Canis lupus familiaris: one gene and its partner. The protein of the gene in region 1 binds, or shares a complex with, the protein of each later gene. Links are inferred from orthologs where the notes say so. Each region holds a gene or a part of one and is shown on either strand. Other genes may lie near its edges.

Evidence for each region. Proteins that work in one complex are often made in the same cells at the same time.
Region 2: KAT5 (region 1) and ANP32E share a complex: the UniProt entries of both Homo sapiens proteins name them as parts of the SWR1-like complex. The link is inferred for Canis lupus familiaris from reciprocal best matches to the Homo sapiens genes KAT5 and ANP32E.

The regions. Positions count from the first base shown.
Region 1 is NC_049239.1:52,006,247-52,010,392, reverse strand, and holds the start of KAT5 (histone acetyltransferase KAT5), read left to right. Parts: upstream 1-1,255; 5' UTR 1,256-1,499; coding exon 1,500-1,677; intron 1,678-1,997; coding exon 1,998-2,066; intron 2,067-2,156; coding exon 2,157-2,293; intron 2,294-2,545; coding exon of another isoform or gene 2,546-2,572; coding exon 2,573-2,728; intron 2,729-2,817; coding exon 2,818-2,892; intron 2,893-2,998; coding exon 2,999-3,073; intron 3,074-3,945; coding exon 3,946-4,146. UniProt on the Homo sapiens protein: Catalytic subunit of the NuA4 histone acetyltransferase complex, a multiprotein complex involved in transcriptional activation of select genes principally by acetylation of nucleosomal histones H2A and H4.
Region 2 is NC_049238.1:60,119,444-60,122,209, reverse strand, and holds the end of ANP32E (acidic leucine-rich nuclear phosphoprotein 32 family member E), read left to right. Parts: intron 1-640; coding exon 641-695; intron 696-1,853; coding exon 1,854-1,924; 3' UTR 1,925-2,247; downstream 2,248-2,766. UniProt on the Homo sapiens protein: Histone chaperone that specifically mediates the genome-wide removal of histone H2A.Z/H2AZ1 from the nucleosome: removes H2A.Z/H2AZ1 from its normal sites of deposition, especially from enhancer and insulator regions.

The sequences.
Region 1 (4,146 bases):
TATAAAGCAGAGGTTGCCAAACATTTTCTGCAAGGCACCAGAGAGTAAAAAATTTAGGTTTTATGGGACATATCCCAAGCACAATCATCCAATCTTAATGTGAAGGCTTCATAGATAAAATGTAAATGAGGAGTATTTGAACACATAACTTTCATGTATCACAAAATATTATTTTCGATGTTTCCACAACCATTAACAAATACAAAACCATCCCACTGGCTTTAAAAAAAAAACCAGCAGAGGGCTGGATTTGGCCCACCAGCTTAGTTTGCCCACCTCAGGTCTCCAAGACAATCAAACAAAACGTTCACTGCAGGTATTTTCTTGTGATGATCTGAGATTATACTTTTCTCCCCTTTATTGTGGTGTTTTTTTGGGGACAGTTTCCTCCCAGATACCTGCATGGCTCATCCCTTCGGCCCTCTAAAGCTTTGCTCAAGTACTCCATTCCAGTCAGGCTTGCCCTGAGCACTCTATTTAAAACTGCAACCAACCCACCTACCCATCTCCTTTGGCCTGCATTGTTTTGGGGGAGGGGGGTTGTTTTCATAATATGTATCACTTCTTCATATACTAAATAATTTAATTTAATTTTATTTTTTAAAAATATTTTATTTATTTATTCATAGAGACACACACACAGAGAGGCAGAGATACAGGCAGAGGGAGAAGCAGGCTCCATGCAGAGAGCCCGACGCGGGACTCGATTCAGGGCCTCCAGGATCACGCCCTGGACTGCAGGCGGCGCTATACCGCTGCGCCACCGGGGCTGCCCTAAGTAATTTAATTTTAAATACACTTATTATCTATGCCCCTTTTTCCTCCCAATCCCCAAGACTGTAAGCTCCATGAGATCAGGCTTATTATATTTAGTGTAGTAGAAGCTCCTAGAATAATGCCTGGTACATGCTAGATCACCAAATATCTGTTGAATGTATGCATGAGTATTATTTTTAAAATTAAAAACATACAAAACAAGCCTGAGTATTTGAATCCCAACCCTAAGGAAGAAGTCCACAAAACGCCAGGCACAAGGTCCGTTTGCAGTGCTCCCCCTTCTCCAGCTTCCCAAGTCCCCCCAGGACACCTCCCCCAACTCCCCGCCCCCGGGGCCAACCACGCGCAGCTGCTCCCGGCGACGCCTCCTGCTGCCACTAGGAGACGCGCGAGCCGGGCCGTCCTCGAAGCACAAACCTAGTTGCACGTGACCCGCGCCGCATCCACGTGACCGGCGTCGCACCCGGTGGGCGTCACGTGACGGACTCAGCTTTCCGCCAATCGAGCGCGTTTCGGGGATTCTGCCCAGGACTCGGGCCGAAACTTAAAACGCCCCACTCTCCCGCCAGCCAAACGGCGCGGCTGCCTGCTTCCAGGGTAGCCGCGGTGTCTCTCAAAAGTCTTCTTCTAAAGCGGCTTAAGGAGGCACGGGCCTACAGCGCGTTCAGTCCCGGAAGTGACGTCTCCCAGAGGGGCCGGAAGTGGCAGTGGAGGGAGGGAAGATGGCGGAGGTGGTGAGTCCGGTGCCCGGGGCGGGGCGGAGGGAGCCAGGGGAGGTGGGTAGAACCCGAGGCCCCCCAGTAGCCGACCCTGGCGCCGCGCTGTCTCCCCAGGGGGAGATAATCGAGGGCTGCCGCCTGCCCGTGCTTCGGCGGAACCAGGACAACGAAGATGAGTGGCGTGAGTGACGTCGGGGGGCGGGGTTAAGGAACCTGAGGGCGAGGGGCGGGAGTCAACGGAACCCTCGGGAGGGGGTGGGGCCTCTATAATCCTGGGGCGGGCGGGGCGCCGATACCCAGGAGGGGCGTGGCCTTCTGCCGCTCCGAATGGGTAGGGCGGGGCTTGGAAAGGGGGCGGCACTTGGTGATTGAAGGGGGTTTGGGCGAAAGCCTCCAAGTCCTGGGGCTTAGGTATCGGCCTGACGGTGGAGATCAGGTCTTAGGAGGGTGAATTCTCCTCGCCTGGCTCCTCTAAGGCTCCTGCCTGTGTTGTTTCCACAGCCCTGGCCGAGATCCTGAGCGTGAAGGACATCAGTGGCCGCAAGCTTTTCTACGTCCATTACATTGACTGTGAGTCCTGGGCTGGGTGAGGTAGGGCTGCGGGGAGGGGTTGGGAAACAGTCTCTGGCATTCCTTCCTGAGCCATCCCCACTGCTACAGTCAACAAACGCCTGGATGAATGGGTGACCCACGAGCGGCTGGACCTAAAGAAGATCCAGTTCCCCAAGAAAGAGGCCAAGACCCCCACCAAGAACGGACTTCCTGGGTCTCGCCCCGGCTCTCCAGAGAGAGAGGTGGTGAGTAGGTCCCCTGCTTCACCTTTTCTCTCCTGCCTCCTACTTTTCTCATCTCTTGGCCTCAGGGGTTTTTGGATGGGTAGAAGTCTGCACCCTTCTACTCTGGCTTTAGCTTGCAAAAGGATGGGGGCCAAATTGTAGCTTCCAGAGTCCAGTAGCTGTTCCTGTGTCCTTGAGAGGGCAGAGGGTGGGACTTGATCATGCTGAGGGGCCCTACTCCCCTTTCCCATCCCACCACCATCCCCACCCTAGAGGAAGACCCTGGACCTATCTCTACAGCCGGCCTCCGCCCAGGCCAGCGGGAAGACCTTGCCAATCCCGGTCCAGATCACACTCCGCTTCAACCTGCCCAAGGAGCGGGAGGCCATTCCCGGTGGCGAGCCTGACCAGCCGCTCTCCTCCAGCTCCTGCCTGCAGCCCAACCACCGCTCAACGGTACCCTCAGCAATTCCAGGGACCTTGCTTTCCTCTGAGGTCCCACCTTCTCTACCGTCTGACCCACCTTTCTTGGTTTCTCTCTACAGAAACGGAAGGTGGAGGTGGTTTCACCAGCAACTCCAGTGCCCAGCGAGACAGCCCCAGCTTCAGTTTTTCCCCAGGTGAGTCCCCCAAACCCTTTTTTTCTTCCTCTTGTCTACTCTCTGGCAGCCCCGATCAGGCTCCTCTCACAACCCTCCTTTCTTGTTCTCATTATTTTACCTACAGAATGGATCGGCCCGTAGGGCAGTGGCAGCTCAGCCAGGACGGAAGCGAAAATCAAATTGCTTGGGCACTGACGAGGTAGGTCTGAGGAAGAGGGAAGCTAGGTGAAAAGGAGGAAATATAGGTAGCACAGAGAGTTTACTGATGGGTTTAAAAATAAACAAGAAGGGGCACCTGGCTGAGTCAGAAGAGTATGCCACTCTCGATCTTGGGGTTGTGAGTTCGAGCCCCACCTTGGGTGGAGATTATTAAAAAATAAATAAACTCGGGCAGTCCCGATGGCCCAGCGGTTTGGCGCCGCCTTTATCCCGCGGTATGACCCTGGAGACCCAGGATCGAGTCCCACGTCGGGTTCCCTGCATGGAGCCCGCTTCTCCCACTGCCTGTGTGTCTGCCTCTCTCTCTCTGTGTCTGTCATGAATAAATAAATAAAATCTTTAAAAATAGGGCAGCCCGAGTGGCTCAGCGGTTTAGCACTGTCTTCAGCCCAGGGTGTGATCCTGGAGACCGGCATCAAGTCCCATGTCGGGCTCCCTACATGGAGCCTGCTTCTCCCTCTGCCTATGTCTCTGCTTGTCTCTCTGTCTCATGAATAAATAAAATCTTAAAGAAAAAAAAAAACTTTAAAAATACATAAATAAGTAAACTTAAAAAAATAAACAAGAGGTGGTAGGCAGTGATGGTTTTTGGCAGGATTAGGAGCCAGGCAAAGCTGATTCAGATCAGTCATTGGTGATCTTTTTCAAAGTGCAATTGATAATTTACCTAGTTTCCCTTCCCTTATCTGGAAAGTGGGGAATACAATGTAGTACCAGCCTTTTTCTTCCTCTGCCATAGAGTTGTTGTTACACTTTGAAAATAAGGAAAGCTATGTAAGGGTTGTGTGAGCTGTCGGGTGTCCTGCTTGAGCTGTCTTCTGTAACCTGGTGTTTTCCACTGGGCCTGGGCAGGATTCCCAGGACAGCTCAGATGGAATACCGTCCGCTCCACGCATGACTGGCAGCTTGGTGTCTGACCGCAGCCACGACGACATTGTCACCCGGATGAAGAACATTGAGTGTATCGAGCTGGGCCGGCACCGCCTGAAGCCGTGGTACTTCTCCCCATACCCACAGGAACTTACCACATTGCCCGTCCTCTACCTCTGCGAG
Region 2 (2,766 bases), on another chromosome or scaffold:
CTGTCTTTTATTGTTTGGAAAACTACGGTCCAGGGAGATTGAGTGATTTATTCAATGCATATAACTATGTTGGCGCTAGGATTCAGGTAATTCCTGTCTTACTCTATAAAATAGAAAACTTTTCTTTGAAATTGTCTAAAGTTACTCTGTCCATTATAGTAGTCACTGAGCACATTTGGTTATTTAAGTTCAAATAAAATGAAAAATTCAGTTCCTCATTTGTACTGATCACATTTTTTACTTTATTTTGTTTAAAGATTTTTTATTAAGTAATCTCTACACCCAATGTGGAGCTTGAATTCACAGCCTTGAGATCAAGACTTGTATGCTCTACTGAGCCAGCCAGGCACCCCTGTACTGGTCACATTTTAAGTGCTCAGTAGCCACATGTGGACAGTACAGATACAGAACATTTCCATTGTTGCAGAAAGTTTTTTTGAACAGTGTCAGTCTAAAATATAACTTACTTTCATAAACCAGATTTAGTTGGGTTCTTAAAGAAGACCTATATAAGTTAGGTAGAGGTTGTTAGAACACAGGATAACTATAGTTTTTTTGTTCTTGTTGGAATGAATAACTACCAAACAGTGAAAAATGTGTCATGGCTTTTTATTCTCAAACTGAATATTTGGTTTTTAAGGATGAAGAAGATGATGATGATTACGTTGAAGAAGGGGAAGAAGAGGAAGAAGAGGGTGAGTTACATTATCTGCAAAAAATCCCAACATTAAAGTTATAGCTATTATTCACGTACTTTAAAGAATGAGTTTATAGTTCAAATTATTACTGATCTTTGATTTGATTTTGGTAACATAGAGCACTTTGAGGGATGTAAAACCTTTTTTTTTTTTTTTTTTTTTTTTTTTGAGAGAAAGAAAGAGCCTGAGTGATAATGGAGGTTGGCAGGAGAGAGAGAATCTTAAGCAGGCTCCAGGCTCAGTGTAGAGCCTGATGTGGGTCTCGATCTCAAGACCCTGAGATCATGACCTGAGCCGAAATCAAGAGTTGGACACTTAGCCCACTGAGCCTCTTAGGCACCCTGAGATGTAAAACCTTTCTTGAAAGAGTAATTTTCTCAAGGCATTTAATAATTTCATTTAAAAAAACCACCCAGCCTATAACATTTCTTTCTTTCTTTTTTTTTTTTTTTTTTAAAGATTTTATTTATTTATTCACGAGAAACAGAGAGAGACAGAGAGACAGAGAGAGAGAGGGGCAGAGACACAGGCAGAGGGAGAAGCAGTTTCCATGGAAGGAGCCCAATGCAGGACTCGATCCCGGGTCTCCAGGATCACACCCTGGGCCGAAGGCAGGCGCTAAACTGCTGAACCACCCAGGGATCCCCCCCACGCCTTTTCCCCTTTTTTCTTAAAGATTTTATTAACATTTATTTCTATAACCGGTATGAACAGAGATAAGAGAGAACCTTGAGCTTAATTTATTATTTTCTTAGGTCTTTCATTTTGAAGAAGGTGAAGCCATATATCTAAGAGAAGAGCTGTTTTATTTCCAGATTACAGCCTTTTCAGATTTGCTTTCTAGTACTCATTACCTAGGCCTTCCATAATAAGTTTAAAAATTTACTAATGATTCTCTTTTATTGACAAGCCCCTGGGTTCTTGATCTGTACTTCATGATTTGGCCACAAGGGTGCACAGCAAACTGTCATTGTTTATGGATTTCTAAATCTATTAAGTCTGTTCAGTACACTGAAGTTAAATTCAGAGAGGAAACAATGTATAATTTTTTATGCCAGTAAGTTTTCACTAAGATAGATTCAAAACTTTGTAATTTAGCAGATATTCATTTGGTAAAATTGAGTATTTTACTGGTTTTTTTCACTCTTTTTTCAGAAGAAGAAGGTCTTCGAGGGGAAAAAAGGAAACGAGATGCTGAAGATGATGGAGATGAAGAAGATGACTAGATCATTCTAAGACCAGATTCCCTAATGTTCCTGGGTGTGCAATAGAGTGATCACATCTTCTTTGTTTCTTCATGTACCATAGCGATCCCTACAGAAGATAACCTGTAACTTTTTATAGGAAAAGTGTGGTTTTACTATTTTTGCCTTATCATTCCAAATAAGATTTACTAGTCTGTTAATGATCATATTGTATGTAGAGAAAAAAATTTTCATTGACCCCATTGTGAAATTCTCTAGCAATTTATTTAGAATCTTCATTTTTCTCATTCAAGCTCACTGTATTAGTTATTTTTAGCCCATAATTAAAAACATGATCACTTTTACACAGGCGTAGTTTGGTGCATTTCATTTATAAGGTTTTAAAGTTATTTATAAGTTAACTGAAATCACAGTCGGCTGGAATATGAAATGAAAATAATCTCTTGACTGATAAGTTGGTTATATTTTTAGAGGTGACCCAGAGATCTCTAGCTTGAAGGCAATGACCTTTTGGGGGAGGGCTAAGGGTATTTGGGTGCTTTTTTGTCACATCAGTAACTTAGAAAGTAGGAAAATAGCAAAGGTTCTATTCAACAATATAGTTCATGGCTTTTGTGGAGGCTTCTGAAACCTTTTAAGCCAGGTGACTAATATTTTATTTTTGAAGGAAAATTGCTTATACTAAGTTCAGATTCATGCAGCTGAGCCTTTGTTTTTCAAGCTGAAGATCACAAAATATCAACGGTTGTTTATTTTGTTTTCAAGTGCACATTCTTTATTTTCCTCCCAGCTATTCCTTTATGATGACTTCCATTTCTTGTTTCACCCCCCGCCCTTTTTTTTAAAGATTTTATTTATTTATT